Schizosaccharomyces pombe: one gene and its partners. Changing the gene in region 3 together with the main gene of any one other region gives a genetic interaction. Each region holds a gene or a part of one and is shown on either strand. Other genes may lie near its edges. The genes, in order: kms1, apq12, brr6 and cut12.

Evidence for each region.
Region 1: of brr6 (region 3) and kms1, a mutation in one rescues a mutant of the other (synthetic rescue), as found in Schizosaccharomyces pombe (one study listed by BioGRID).
Region 2: mutations in brr6 (region 3) and apq12 are lethal when combined (synthetic lethality), as found in Schizosaccharomyces pombe (one study listed by BioGRID).
Region 4: mutations in brr6 (region 3) and cut12 are lethal when combined (synthetic lethality), as found in Schizosaccharomyces pombe (one study listed by BioGRID).

What each region holds. Positions count from the first base shown.
Region 1 is NC_003424.3:3,461,082-3,465,930, reverse strand, and holds kms1 (protein Kms1), read right to left. Parts: upstream 3,034-4,849; 5' UTR 2,867-3,033; coding exon 2,804-2,866; exon of another isoform or gene 2,673-2,803; coding exon 2,233-2,672; exon of another isoform or gene 2,187-2,232; coding exon 866-2,186; 3' UTR 623-865; downstream 1-622. Other genes in the region: sei1 (seipin), read left to right, coding at 1-389, 487-622. UniProt on the Schizosaccharomyces pombe protein: Has a role in karyogamy, recombination and segregation during meiosis. Although it has been shown to associate with the spindle pole body it is unlikely to be involved in its formation or maintenance.
Region 2 is NC_003423.3:447,064-449,911, reverse strand, and holds apq12 (nuclear membrane organization protein Apq12), read right to left. Parts: upstream 979-2,848; coding exon 631-978; 3' UTR 514-630; downstream 1-513. Other genes in the region: arg12 (argininosuccinate synthase), read left to right, coding at 1-141. UniProt on the Schizosaccharomyces pombe protein: Involved in the regulation of lipid homeostasis in the endoplasmic reticulum, thereby impacting nuclear pore complex biogenesis and localization, and nucleocytoplasmic mRNA transport.
Region 3 is NC_003424.3:2,860,569-2,864,345, reverse strand, and holds brr6 (nuclear envelope protein Brr6/Brl1), read right to left. Parts: upstream 1,931-3,777; 5' UTR 1,673-1,930; coding exon 779-1,672; 3' UTR 501-778; downstream 1-500. Other genes in the region: DNA replication protein Cdc24, read left to right, coding at 1-38, 80-381; protein mug130, read left to right, coding at 2,606-2,928, 2,992-3,394; SPOM_SPAC8F11.04 (U3 snoRNP-associated Cic1/Utp30 family protein), read right to left, coding at 3,642-3,777. UniProt on the Schizosaccharomyces pombe protein: Involved in mRNA and protein export from nucleus.
Region 4 is NC_003423.3:539,309-543,690, reverse strand, and holds cut12 (protein Cut12), read right to left. Parts: upstream 2,536-4,382; 5' UTR 2,409-2,535; coding exon 2,402-2,408; exon of another isoform or gene 2,360-2,401; coding exon 720-2,359; 3' UTR 523-719; downstream 1-522. Other genes in the region: GTP-binding protein Gtp1, read right to left, coding at 1-23, 139-207, 253-270; tail anchored plasma membrane protein Uvi15, read right to left, coding at 3,731-3,776, 3,987-4,168, 4,238-4,273. UniProt on the Schizosaccharomyces pombe protein: Required for bipolar spindle formation. May act as a regulator of the p34cdc2/cyclin B kinase. Required for full activation of the plo1 kinase.

The DNA of each region.
Region 1 (4,849 bases), 600 kb from region 3:
TTGCTTCAAATCAAAATGCCGCATTCTCCTCGAAATAGTGCTATGGGCAATTTTATGGTTTCTGTCGATTTTCAAGATAGAAATCAAAGATCTCTGAAGCAGGTTAAACGAACAGTCTTGCTTCCTCATAGGTCTCCTATTCACGAATACCTTAAGCTAATTGTATGTTCACCTCTTTACTTCATGGGGATTTTGGAAGAAACAGATATTGTCAATGTCCGTTTGTTCGAATCTGAAACATTTGCTAAAAGTTTTAATTCAATTACAACACTTTCCGTTAGATTTTCTGTCAAAAATACTCCAGCTCAAGCTATTGTCAAAATTTATTCTAAAGATATTGAATTTTACGAAGCGACTCTAGCTTTTGCATCAAAATTGCACGGCATGCGGTAAGTTTTACTTTTTGATTTACCTTCTTCATTTTTTTTACTTTACTCAATTTCTTTACCTGTTATACTTTTTCACAAACTAACTTGTCCTTACTAGCTGGTTCATGTATACGCATAAGGTTTCCGCATTTCTCGTTTTCACATCTTTATTTTGGTTTACGGGGATAACCTCAACGATAATTACCTATCTTATTGTCTCTTCCACATCTGAAACAAAAGCAACAAGACGTTGAATCTTCTCACATCTTCACTTGCATCTAAAATCATAATCGTCACAACCATAAAAATACATTATTATTAAATTAGAAAGTTCCATTATTGCTTTATCCGTTAGACCCATTATTCAGCTGCACCTTTATGTACAAAAAGTTGAAAAAGGGTAAAGCAATTTAAATCAGCACTGATTTTTTTTTTAGAAAAAAAAAATCTTTCGCTAGCATCTTCATTTTCGTCATTATTTATTAGTCGCCTAATTATCAAGAAGGCTGTACCAGTTCATACCGTCCATAAAGGAGTATAATTATATGTTCGCAAAATGTAAATACAACACGCAAAAAAGCTTGCAATAGCTCGGCGCACAATATGTAATCAAGTCCGTAAAAACAGGCAAAAAGAAAAAGGACGTAAAAAAGTCGCAAAATGTTGGATTTCATAACCGATAAAAGAAGCAAAGGTTGTCCTTTCGTTGCTAGAAAATGGGGGTTGTCTGCATTAACAGTATCTTGAGACGCCATAAAATCTTTAGAGGAGTTATTCATTGTTGTATTAGTTGCCATGAGTCCTGTTTCATCGTCACTAAAGCTCGAAAGAACTGTGCATTCGTGGCTTGATTCTTCATATGTTGGCATAGAGGAATCGTACCGACGACAAAAGTCGTTTAGGGTTGGAGACATTTTGGAAAGGCTTTGAATAATCCATTTTTGGATACCAATTTCCTCTGAAAGCATCAAAAATCCAGCAACCAATTCTTTGTTTCGCGAACTTTCAGCAGTAAGAGAGCTTTGCAATGATTGACTTATGTGTTTGCATTCTTCTATCGTTTTCTTTTGTTGTTTACATTTAAATTCCAATTCTCTTAATTCTTCACTTTCCCGCATTCCAACCGCAGGAATAGAAATGCAAACTGATGGTTGAGTGAAAGAAAGGCCAACCTCTTTGGAGTAAACCATTTCGTCAAGGTTAGAGGGTGATAAAAATTCATCTCCTTTTGGGTTATTAGACAAAGCAATTAAATGTTTTTCTCTAGTAAGATCATCTATGTGGTTGTTTAGCTGATTATTAGAATTTTTTAATTCATGGTTCTCTAAAGCAAGCCGACGAATAGTATTCTCATTTTCACTTGACCGAGATGCAGCCAAGCTTAATTCCTCAATTTTCTTAGTCTGATCTGTAAACTTACGCAAGAGAGTGGCATACCGAACTTGCAAGGCTGAAAGCTCTTTTTTTGTGGAGTAGAGGCCAGAGTTTGTCTGTATGAGTTCTGACTGAATTTTCTGAAAGTTTTTGTGAATGTTTAGATTTTGAGCCTTAAGAGTCTTAATTTGGTTATTTTGCGAATTATTGGCTACCTTAGATTCATTATATTTGGAATCTGCCATATTTAGTTGGTGGGTAAGTTCATTCACTTTTCCTTCTAAAATATCTACAGTACGAGATTTCTTTCTAGCTTGATCTCGAGCTTTATCTAACATATCCTGGAGTTCTGTGATTTGCTTGATTAGATCATGGTGCCCGTTGGAAAAATCAGGTTTATCCTTCCTAACAAGTGGCATCTCAGTATTTCTGGACGACGTATTTCTTCTTGTTAGAATTTTAATGACTTTTCTAAAAAAAAAATTCTTACCTATTTAGTGGTGTAGATTGGGCAAATGGAGTTCGAAGAATATTGACAAAATCACTGTCGGTAAATTGAGACATCGGCGGCAAGGACAGTCTCTTAGACATCATTTGAGAAGGGTTTAAGGATTCAGGAGAGGCATTAGAAGATGATTTTGAATGTGCAGAATTGACAGAGTGTTCATTTGCATCCTCTTTGATAGAATTTTTGGAATTCTGTTGCTCCATCGAAGGCTTTTCAGCTTGATTCGCAAAAGAGTCATCTTCGTTTTCAGTAAGTTTTTTATATACGTCTCGAAAATTATCCTTTGTAATAGAGAGATCTGCATTTTGCCGTACGAATTCGAGTGTACATTGTTTTTGGAATTCGCTCAAAAGAGGTGGTGCAGAAGCGGGATGTAAGAGTTGTAGGTCATTGATGATTGGCAAAAAGTTGGAAAGATGAACCTAAGAAAATTTTTTGTTAATAGTTTATCCTATTGGTAATTGGGTAAAGCGAGAAAAACCAGAGTCTTGAGAGTTTGTCTCTGACTCAATAAACAAGATCTACCTGCATAAGCAATCAATTTTTTTCATACTTTTCCTTCATGTTTAAAGTCATATGAATCGAAAATCAAGTCAAAATCGCGTTCATTTAGCATTTTGGAAAGGGAACTGGCAATTATAATTATACAGGAAACGAACCACAATTCTAGTGGGAATGGGATTCAGTTTTGAATTTTTTTGTTAGAATTTATCATAAAGCTGCGTGCATTTCATAACAGTTCACGAATTCACCGCATTTCTTAAGTGTTGTGAGTTGGGTTTCGTGCAAGGTCTATCCAAGGGTTTGGCAGTAGGGCTGTTGAGCAAGTGGTTTGAGAGACCAAAAAGAAGTACACAGAAAAAGACGGATTAAAATAAAACTTGAAAATAGATAAAAAGATGTTAGAAGAAATCATGTTTATGCTTGATTTAAGAGCAGCTAGAAAAGTAAGGCCACAACTTGGTCGTACTGTGCATACTTAAGTGATAATTCAAATGAAATCGCAAATTAAAAAAAAAAAAAAAAAAAATTATTTTTAGTGAAGTAGAAACTATTCGTATTTGTTTTATAGATCGATCGATTCCTCTGAGAACTTCAAGCGAATTTGCAGTAATTTAGAACGCCAGCATTTATAATTGCGGGTCAAACAACGATCGCCCAAGAATCTTTCATAGACTCCAAATAAGATTGGTTGATTACTTAACTTATATTTTGATCCTTGAATCGTTTTAGTCAATCAACGTCGTATATATTGTACTTTTTAAAAAATACAAGGTTTTGATCGTAAAAAAAGAAATGCATAGAAAAGGTCAGATTTTTTCATCCAAGAATGTGCAATAAATACAGAAATTACTTCTTTTTCTTTCAATTTAGCCAACTCTTTCGAAAACGTCTTCTATTTACATTTTCTATATAGCTACTACTCAGTCAAAACAGTTGGTTAGCATGTTACTTTATGAGAAGCGAGCGATGTGACGTCAAAGGTTTTTTGGCGAAATTAACACTGTCCATATGTATATGTGTTTGAGCGTGTAAAACCTGGTTTCTGCCATTTACATATTTTGAAACCTCTGTACGCTAGTTTAGTTATTTCTCGTATCATTTTATTTTTAACTGGTGCAAGAGACAAGAAAATTCATTTACTTTCGTGAAGATTTGAAAAATTCGTTTGTCAGCTTAGAATTCTTTGCTAGCAGCATTATTTGTACATTTTCAATTGGACCTCTCTTAGCTTTCAAATTTTATTAAATCTTCTTTGTTTTCTTTCTCTTTTGTACGAAGTGATCATCGAAAAGATAGAGAACATCGGGGTTTCCATTTATGGGCGATAATGTATTTTTAGAGCCTGATCCATGGGCATCTAGCAGTAATTGGGGTTCACCAGTGAAGCCTTTAAATTATAAAACAGCAATTGGTTAGTAAAAGTTTTGTTCTTCTGTTTTTTCCTTCTCAATTAATAGTTAATTTTACGGATCGATGCATTCTATCATTGATTTGTTTCTTTAGCTTGATTTTTTTTTTTTTCATCTTTCTTGCTTTTTTACTTACTTACTGTAATGATGCTAACCTTTTTCTTTTTCTTTTTTTTGTCTATAGGTAATTCATCCATTCCTTTGCAATATCGAAATTATTGGGACGTGTTTCAAGCAAACAATGTTCTCTTATTTCCAGAAGAAGAAAGTTATTCTGATATATTTCATGTTCCTCAAGATGTAATGAAAGAGTTCTTTACCTTGATTGAATCATCAAGCAATCAACCCTTACGGCAAATTCAGTTTTTCGTTTTGCTTGCCTTGGTTGCCTGTTATCAATTAGGTGTTCCTAGCACATTGGAACAGATTTTCAAGCAAAGAAATGGTAAGGCTTTTTTTTATCTTTGCTTTTTTTTGTCTTTTTGCTTACTTCCTCCTCCTTAGTCCTGCCCATTTTGCAGCGTTTTAATCCGGAACTTTTCAATCGTAGTTCTGATAATGAAACCCCTCTTTTTCCTAATAATTCTCCTCCTGCTTCAACAACCGCCTTGAATCTTTCATCCAACATTGTCCCTTCCATTAATGAATCAAAAATTTTAGAACAAGAGGATGACGACGTCTCCAAT
Region 2 (2,848 bases), on a different chromosome or scaffold from region 3:
TCTGATACTGCTCATCTTTATGACGAGAAATTGTCATCTATGGATGAGCTTGGTGGATTTGACCCTACATGGACCTCTGGTTTCATCCAAATCGAGTCTATGCGTTTGCGTAACTCTGATGAAGGAAAACATTGGATGTAAATGCCAGGTCGTTCTCAATAATAATGTCATACTCACCATGTACTTGAGCCAAGCAATAATCAAATTTCTGCTGTGCAAATAAGAAGTATTATTTGAGATGGCTTCCTTTTCATATTCACATTTCATAGAATTACTCCGTTCATATCACTGATAAGTCAATTGAATATTTTTGTTGCAAAAAAAAAATAAATTCTGAAAACTGTAACTAATTGAAATTGAAGTTTTATATTGCAAACGCAAATTGTTAAGATGTTTAATGTACTCAATACTATGCTTTTAATTTAAAAAATATTTTACAGGCCTTTAGCCATTCTTCGTATACAGTCCTAAAATCAAGAATAATGTCGAAACCATCTTGAATGATAAATGAAATGAGGAACAAAAAAGATGAAAAATATATTACTAAAATAAAATTTTTTAAAGCATATCCATAACACTTTGTACTCGGTAATCTGAAAAAACAAAGAAGATAACGCTGCTAGTCAATGTTCAAAAAGATCCGTTATTGATAAACCAGTAAGCAAAGAGACAACCGATTAGTAAGAAAAAAGAAATTACAGCAAGTGTTTTGAAGAGGGCAAGGGCAATACTGGTAGTCTTATTTACAATGACCAAAGAGAAGTATAACACTATAATCAAAGTCAAGATATTAATAGCTGAGGGCAAGCTCAATCCTAGATTTCCATTGAACAATGATTTTAGGAAAGACGTTTCATATTTTTCGAAACTTTTGCCTACATTTTCAACGGTTTGAAAGACTTGATCAGGATTGGTATTTAATCCATGGTCCACAGCAAGTTTGGCGACGAAATTCCATAAAACGGATGTCAAAGACATTTTCTAAAAAGTTAAAATATGAACGGGGAGTAATAGAGATGGGAGTAGTTAGGTGTGCTTTTTGACTGAATGTTGACGTTGTAGGCGAATTTTACCAACGATTACATTTGCTAATAAAATATGTTAAAATAAAAATTGGAAGATGAGTTGAAATAAACGGTTCTATAAACAAAACTCATTTAAAGAAAGAACTGGCAAACAGATTATGTCAACATATCTCATCTAATATCGAGACTACTGATAAAAAAATCTAATTTGCTAATGACTACAAGCTTTTATTGTTTACTCTTTGTTGCTTACAGTTCTAGTCAAAGGAGGTATTTTATTTTCGTATTTCGCTGTACATAGCATAATTTCATGAAATGCTTTTCTCTATAAATATGCTTTTATAAAGAACTAGTTAATAAAAAATTGCTTATTTCTAAGCTCTTTTAGGATTAGTAATATATAAAAAGGAAGATAAGTATTTTTATCCCTTTTTAACTGGATTGTTATTACTATAAAAGAAAGACTCTTACGGTTGATAATAAAAGCGTAGAGATCAGAAGATAAAAGTAGAATTCACCGCCTATATTTCCTTTGGAATAAATATCCAACAGTATACTTACTATTATAGAGAGAAAATTAATTTCCCTTTGCCCTTTATCATATAAAATGGTTCTTTTTATGCTGAGTGCCTAGCATAATTCCTTCCTTTTCGAAATATCAAAAGGCTTGTGAGACTTCAATTGGTAAATGCTTTAAAGTGAGTTATTACTAGCTCGCTTCAACCACTTCAGCTTGATTCTCCAATAACCGAGTTTTCAAAAGTACTCATTCTTGCAATTGCTATAAAATTTTTATCTTTATTTATACCATTACCATTGTAATATTGTTATAAGGCATCGCTTTACTTACTGAACATAAAAAAAATCTTCATCATAAAATTAATTAAATGTCAGAATAGAAAAAAGTGTTTAGAGGGTCCAACCGTACAAACAAACAACTTTTACGTTTTTAACATTTTCATTTCTTCAATAACCCCACAGTTGTTTTAAGCTATTACTTAAGCGAGGGCTGCACATGACAATGTGGCTAGTATACCCTTTATATACATTTTGAATATGCATATGAAACCCATTATATTAACGCTGGAATAGCGGGAATGCTTGTTTATTATATTAATTTATTCTATTGGAATGAATAAATCTTTTTTCTGGACATTTAAGAACGGCATGAAACAAGTAGCTCTAATAAATTAAATTGTTGGATCTTACTAAAGACTAAATATTAATAATAATTTTCTCCCAAGCTATTTATATACATATTAGAAGCAATTTGCAAAGATAGCAGACTAATACTCTTCAATGCCCAACTTCTTATTAGTGATATACATGTAAAAATATCTTTATTATGCAATATTATGTAGCAGCTCGTACAATGTTTGCACATCTTTACACAATAGTATTCATTTTGTATTACATTATCATTTATAATTCCATTTCACAGAGAGTAGGCATTGCTATTATATAATATAAATTTATATAAAACAAAAAGACTGCAAAATCATTTCCAACTGAAACTTCGTTCTTTAGTTCTATTAAATTATTAAGTATTGGAATATCAGATTTTTGTAAGTTCAGTAATAATAATATCATTATATTACACCGTTGTATTATTAATCGCATAATATTACTGTAACACTTTGTCCGTAATTTGCATCGTTATTTCAGTTAACAATTGTGGGTCCAAAATCTTAAAGTCTAATAGCGAACTACACCAGGTTTGCAACTTCATTCATTTTTTTTAATTCCAATGTAGTCGTGCCGAAATCAGACTTTGGTTTGGTGGTAGCCGGGGTGCTTAGTGTTAGCAGATATCCGGATTGATT
Region 3 (3,777 bases):
TCAACCGTTAACTTTGGTGATCACCGGATTTGTAGCGAGTAAGGGTTGCTTGTTTTACGAAATACTAATTGAATGATAGATTTAACCCGCCAATCTGATTTAAATACCAGTTTGGTCTTGCCGGAAGTAAATCCATTAACAGCAAAAATGGAGGTAATTGACTGTTTAAGGAATAGTTTTTGGGCAGCTTTACGACCGAATTGTGTTTCATATTTTGCGTCTATGATTTCCGGCTTTAAAGAATTATTCCAAAAAGAAATGGAATTTCCAATATACCTGGATTTGAAGTCGTACAAGCTCGGATTCCATTGGTGTGATATTTATGTGGACTCAGAACACAACTGCCATATACAAAAAATAAACTCTCTGCCGTGTGAATAGCCATCGCCATTATCTGAATAATTATGTCTAACAAATAAAAATCAAACATTGAATGTTTGAATGAAAAGATGTACAGTTCATTCAATCATTCTCCGTTTTAAAAGCTTAGTTTGCTTAATTTACTAATATACTACAGTTTAAAAGGCTTATAAATAATGCATTTTTCCAAAAAAGAAATTCAAAGTTAGAATATTAATTGGCTCACCCTTGTGAGAAACAAAGCAATACGATACAATGAACAGCTAAATTAACAAAATTATAAAAGAAAATGAATCCGAATAACGAAATTTGTATGCCAAATTAGAAAGCATACCAATAACGTTCAAAGTAATGATATAAATGAAAGTGATGAAAAATGATTTTAAGAAAAATGAGGTTAGTAGAAAAATGAAGACGTTCAAATTTCTTCCTCCTGAGAGGCAGCTTCGATAAGGTTTCTATTGGAAATATCAGAAAGATTGGAAGGAAGGAATCTACTGGACGGTATCATCGCCGGGATAGCGTTGGCAGCATAATCGTGGATATTTTGAGAATGTCTAGCTCTATAAAGACCAAAGGCGTAATTGGATGTTAGTAGACTTCCAAATACAAGAATGAGGGAAAAAACCATAGTTTTATAAGAAATATGACTTATAAAAGCGTCTATAATCTCAGCAAAAACTAACGCTGCCAACTTTGTAGAACCGACATTATTAGAACTTTCCATTTTACATTGTTTCAGTTTTTGACAAACTTCAAAAATAGCAGGTCCTGGAGAGTCACAGTTAATAGAAAGATATTCCCGTTGACAGTCAGCAGCTTGTTCTTCTTGCAGTATTTTATGATACTCAACACGATTTCGGACATCGTTTTGAATGCCAAAGACAATTTTAAACAAAAAATAAAGAAAGATTGAAGCAACGCACGCATTAAACATCAGTTGCAAATAACCACTAACAACGATAGGTATATCTCGATGAACATTTGTCCAATCTGAAACATACACAGAATCTTGATTGTTGGCTTTTATGATCGCGTTCGAAGAATTGGACCTCTTAGTCAACGCTCGAGTACGAGAAGAAACCTGATTTGAAGAAGAGTTGGGCTTTGATTTTCGCAATTTACGCCTGACAGTCGACTTTTTGAGATTTTTTTCGTCAGGAGACATTGAAATATCCATTGGCTCTGGATCATTCTCATTCTGGGTTTTTTTTTTACTTTTCAAAATTTCATATTTCGGTCGAATTGGCGTATTTAAGACGGAATCAGGCCCAATATCCGGCATCGGTACATCTTCAACGTACATTTCCATATTTTTCTATTTTAAATAACTTTTTAAAAAAAATGCAAATATGAATGAGTGTTGGAAATCAATACTAGGGAATTGACTGGTGATTTCTCAAACCATGAGTAGATTGAAAAAAGAACGCAATAATTGATTATCAAGAAGCAAAAAACAAATTTAAACTCTCAAAACTTTTTCTTATTATTAATAAGAAGTGCAATTCGTAAAAAACCACTGCTTTCGCCAAGTATATTCTTGAGGTGCCTTAACTGCTTGGTAAATGGTAATTATTACTGTGAATGGTATATTTACAAATGCTTGTTCAAGCTAAATTGAGATTATATTGTTAATATACACGAGTCCTTATCCTTACACTTCAATTTAGAAAATTTATGTATAGATGTTTAAGTACTATGGTTTTATAAACAATTATGTTTTGAATGTTAAATAAAAACCTGCAACTATATTTCATTAGCATGACGCTTCAATTCGTATTTTAAAGCTGTAATATGTTAAATTATGCTATTTTATATACCTTTTTTTTCTATCAAAAAAACAATTAATATCTGAGATTTTGAATATATTTTATTTTCGTTTGTATTAAAAATATATGTAAAAAGCGAACCCGCCCAATATTTATATTGTAAACTAAATTAGGCTCTTAATAATTAGTGTAGAATAATTACCTTTTAAATGTTGCTTTTAGTGTTTTCAAATACTTACTCTATATAAATCGAAAAATGAAAGAATTGGAATTTCGTAATTGCTAATTATTATAACAAACGGAATATGTAGAATGTTTTAAAATTCTATTCTGGTTTACCATTTGTTTACTGATACATATTTATTACAGTAGTTTCAAATGTAAATAAAACGTTTGTTTACCATACAACAGATGTCATCAATACCACTATTGAACGACTAAGCCAAACTTAGAAATTCCCAAAACAAAGGATTGCAATGATTTGCAAATATATATATTTAGCCATATTCGTATTTGGAACAGCAAGGATCCCAAAACCTAGCGCTTGTTTACCTGGGGATTTTTGGAAGACAAAACAGGAAATTGAGGTACAAAAGAAAATAGATGAATTTAACCAGTACAGGATATCTGCCCTGTGGTCTATGGTTTCAAAGATGGAAGATCCGACACTTAGTGGACTGGATGGCAGATACATAGTTGTAGATCAAAATCAATTATATTTATCACCTATTTCAAAAAAGTCTGAAAAGCTGATCTTTCGGTTTAATTTAAATCATAGAGGATATCTCGAGGTGAAAAGGTAAGCATTACCAAACTAGCAAAAACACTTCAATAAAGCAGGCACTAATCCTTCATACAAAAGCGGATTTAGAGCTTTTATCGAAAATAAATATTCTCCACTGGTTTTTCATGCTACTAGTTGGACAAATGGATTTTCCATTGATGTACAAAAAACAAATCCCATATCCTCGTATACTCCATTTGTCATGCAATATCTCAATTCACCCTGGTTTTCTGCTTGTAGAGTTGAGTCGGGAAATTGGCAAGTATTTGTAGGAAGGATGAATATGAATGAGCATGAGCACTGCTACCCAATGTCACTAATTATGAAGCGAGAAGATACTTGGCTCAGATATTATCACAAAAACAATAGAAATCCGATAGACTGGAAATTAGTCCAAGATTGTGCAATGTGGCCCGATGGATATCCTGGAACAGGTAGGGAATCAGAAAAGGGCTCCAACCTTGAAGCAATTACCCGTTGATATAATAATAACCCTACAAAAAGATGTTCGTGCTTACGCCATAAGTATTTTGTCTGTTCAAAATTACTCTTACCTTACGAATTATCAGACGACTGCTTGTTCAACCTACAGTCGCTCATTTATTTCCTATAATAGTTGAATTTTCAAATAATATTTTGAGACCCAAATAAATCAATTAGCCGTAGAATAACAGTATATCTGAAATTATATATACACATACAAAAAACCCATTCATGCTCCCGAAATTTTAGTGCTTTACCTTATTCTTTCCTGCCTTTACCTTTTTGATAGCAGTAGTTCCATTTGCTTTTAAAGAGGACTGAGAAACTTTAGGACTGGCTTTTGCCTTTTTGCCCTTTGAATCCTCATCACGGTTAGTTGTT
Region 4 (4,382 bases), on a different chromosome or scaffold from region 3:
AGCTTGGCGAGTTTTCCTTTCAACTAAAGGACTAGGTTAGTTTAATTTAGAGTTGATTCTTTATAAGTTGGAACAACATTGTAATATTTGCTATAAAATAAAAGGCATTCCAGTTAGAAATGAATTAAAAAAACTTACCAAACCAAGATGGTACTCCGTCGCCTTATTTTTTTGCGTCCGGCGCATTTCAGCTTCAATCTCTTGAATCTAGCCAATTTAGATTAGTATATAACGGCAGATATTTTTATTTACTTTTTCTAAGACACCCATTTTCCCATTTAATAACCTATCGTAGTGTGGTAATATGAAATTGTTGCTACTTTCAAGTTTTTACTGCGTATGGCCTAAGACAAGATTCAAATGGAGGTTGAGGAGATGGAATTCTTCCAGTCAGCTTACGATCTAAATGTACAGCTGAATGTTTTTCTAGTAAAATACTGCATGAAAAGATGAAATTAAATTACAATATCCACGACTAATACGGCCTTTTACAAGCCTCTTATAATGAATCCATCATTTATACTAAAAATTAGTAATTTGAGTTAATATTAATAATGGACTTATATTTTATTTAATTCTCGAAAGGAATATAGTTAATTTTCAATACTTGATGCACACACCTTTCCTCAACAAAAATAAATGAAACTAAGGCTCCAGTCCTTTACTTAAAAAGGATATGCATTCTAATTATACAATATCGATCTAGTAAAATTATACCTTCAGGAATTCAACTGAAGTTCTTGAAGTTTCAACTTCCTTCGTCTTCTCCTTTCCTCTAATCTTTTCTTTGCATTCGCAGTACGTTGATTTGGACTCTTCAAATCATAATCCACGCGAGAACTAGTTGCAACTTTAACTTGTGGTTTTTCAACATCAGCACTTGTAGTTACGTTCGCTTTTGATTGGTATACTGACGTTGGATTTGTTTTTCCAAGGTTTGAGCTTAAAGAAGATAACACGTTTGGCGTCACTCTTGCTTTTGGCAATTGCTGCAAGGTAGTAGCAGAAGATAAGCTACCACCATCTTGTGGGAAACTAAGTTTCGACGGTAAGTGGGACTTCTTTGCTGCTATTGAAAATGGAGCAGGTGTAGGAGTTTGATTAGACTGCATTAAATTCATACGTACTTTGGAAGCTGCGGAAATAGGAGTTGATGAAATTATTCCTTCAGAAGGTATTAGGTTTGTCGTATGGGACTTTTTTGATGAATGAGTCAGCATTTGAGCTGCCAAATGCGACATATCTGCTCCCCGATGTAAATTCTTGGAAGGAACCTGTTCTTGAGGCTCACGCACATCAGATTGGGATGGCCTAGAAACAACTTTAGTAGTAATCGGACTTGGCTTAGCAGTATAAAGCTCCCTCATTTGGCTAAATCTATTTCCAACGAATTCCTTGCCTTTGTATTTTGACTGTTGTCCTTGATGATTATGGATTTTCTCCGTTTCTAAAGCTCGACAACGTTGTTTCCAAAAATTGATTTCCTCTTGTTTCTCTAAAATTAAGGATTCCAAACGCTCACGGATAGAGGTTAATTCTAACTCAAGATCCGAATGAGCAGAATCTAGCATACTAAACTTTTGCTTCCAGTATTTTCCTGAAGAGGAACGAGGCGCATCAAGGTTTATCGTATAGTCAGGTTCATCCAAGCTCTCAGAGGGAAAAGCTTGGGATGTGTCAATCATAACGTCTTTAATAATTTCCTTCATTTTTCGATTATTGTTCACAACATCTCGAAAGCAATCCTTCATTAAACTTGACCAGTCATTATTATTGTTACTATCCCATTTGAATTTAGAGATCTCGGCATCCATCGAGTGAGGATATTTTTTCTTTGAAGGGACATCTTCGCCTAATCTCTGATTGCTTTTTGTCTCATTTTTATAGGATTCATTGATATTAATATTATAGCGATTATCAAACTCGTCATGCTTACTTTTGTTTTCATTATCCGGATTATTAATATTCGGTTTTGGAGTACTCTGTAACAAAGGGGATTTGAATTCTTCATGACCCATTAAAGGATTCTCATCATCTAATCTCGTAAATAAGAAATTATTTTTCGTTGGACGATTCCACGTCGCAGCATCTTTTGAAATATCTTTGAAATTGACGGTCTTCTTTATTTGTAAAGTACCTGGAGTTTTCAAAATCCCATTTTGTGCTGCTTTACTTTTTAACGGAGTTAATGTCTCAGTTGGGCGCAGGTCTTCTTTTGCGTCTTGCGGAAGTTCTGCATCAGATTCTGCATCCTCAATGTAAGAGGACATTTTTGTAACAGGCTTCGTCACAGTTCCTGCTAATTTACTAGAAAATGCTTTCAAAACCCATGCATATGTTGGCGGAGTGTTCAAAGTTTCTAAATTTTGAGATTAGCTTTGTTTACATAGGAATTCCTTACCTGACATTCTATCGGATCTCTGAATTGTTCTGCATGTAAAAATATAATTAAAAATATAAATAATTTAAACGAATTTAACAAAATTATGTCCAAACAACCCAACTTTAACAATATTTCCCAATTCGGTGGTTTTCAACGTATGGCACAAACACAACAAACTAATAAAGAACCCGATCGCATGTTACATTGGACGTCCTCTCAGTACACTATTTTACACACTGCGTATCGTCATATTTCTTTTAATATGTGAACTCGTTATTGTATGTTAATAAACTTTGTGATATCGTGAACGGTCTTTTCGCTATATGGAGGAGGTAATTGAATAGGAAGTAGAGTATAGCTGCAATGAAATACATTTACTACTACGATTATAAATAATACTTATAGATGGGTAATTGATAAAGGATATTGAGTATTTGTAGATATAGCGCTCATTGCAATAAAAGTCATATGGCAATTTTTGTCTTAACGAGCTTGCGCATCCAAATTCATAGCATTTGAATCAAGGGGGGTCGCAATGGTTGAGCTTCATTTTCGTGAACAAGTTTGTCGTATTTCCACCATAGAAAAAGCACGCATCTATCTACCTGTTTGAAATAGTCAAAGCAAATCTTAGAAACTTTAAACTTTTTACGTAAGATATATGCCTCAATTTACTTTTAAAATCTTTTTAAAAAACAAATAAGGAATTCTTATACGTATCGATCAAAAACCGACTCTATCAAACTTAAACATATTGGGAAATCTAAAGAGTTCATCTACACTAAAAGAAAACAACAGCATACTAAACAGAATACACAACATATAACGAGCAGCAAAAAAGTAGACAAACCATAGAAAGGTTAGCTAAAAACGAAACACACATATTGCCCCTTCAGGGTAAGCAAGATAAATAAACATGCGAATTTTTTCAGGACGAGTCATTTCAACTAATCCAAACTAAAAATTATTCATAAAGAACGATTTAGACCAATGGATGCTGTAAAAGATTTTGCGCTTAAAAAATAGAAAAGACAGTCCATCATAAAACTAAAGGTTTTAATTTCGAAGAAAAGAAGCTGAAATTAAACGGTTGGGTAATAGCAATTTTCAAAAAGTGAGACGACACTCTGTACAGAAAAATCAAGATCTATAATTATTCGACCAACGCTTTACCAATGTAAATAAATAAATCCTCGCCATAAAGTTGTTTGCTGGCGAGGGAATTAATGAAAAAATAACCAACAATCATTAATTGCACTCAAGTCAGAAAATAAACACGGCTTTTAGTTTAATCAGTGGTGCATGCTCTCTTTCGAGAAAAGTAGAAAGAACAAGCCAAATAGTTTTTTAAAACATTGCATCCAAACAGCAACAGCAAGCAAGACCGGTCAATCTAAAAACAGTCGTTAGTAAAGAGAAAAAGGTAAAGCAAAACACAGTTCAACAGGGAACTATTCGAAAGGAACGCCAAAGCAACTTTAATCGACTGACGTAATGACCTAATTCAATAAAGAATACCCCATTCACCTTTCAAAATTAAGAGTGTGCTTCACCGTTCCAATGCAATTTCGACGTCTTCTACGCGCCCATTCTTTATACTTACAGACCACAGCAAAGATCGCCACCAGGATCACTGGCCTGAGGTTGCTGAACATACATAGGTTGCTGAGCAGGATATCCACCTTGAGGATAGCCTTGTGGAGGAGCATAACCTTGTTGAGGATAATTTTGTTGAGGAGGATAATAGTTTGGGCCTCCATAAGCTTGTTGAGGAGGAGCAGGGGCCTAAAATTGAAGCTGTTAGTAAAATCCTGAATAAATTGTTGCAACTGAGCTGCATAACAAATTCCATACATAGCCCTTATCACCATAAAACTGTTGAGCAGACATTTGACACCTTAAATAATTGGGTACAAAAACAAAACCAGTTGATGGTAGTTGGCAAGTTGTGAATCGGGCGCAGGCTTCTATGTGCGCGTCAGAGATCGAATGCATAGAC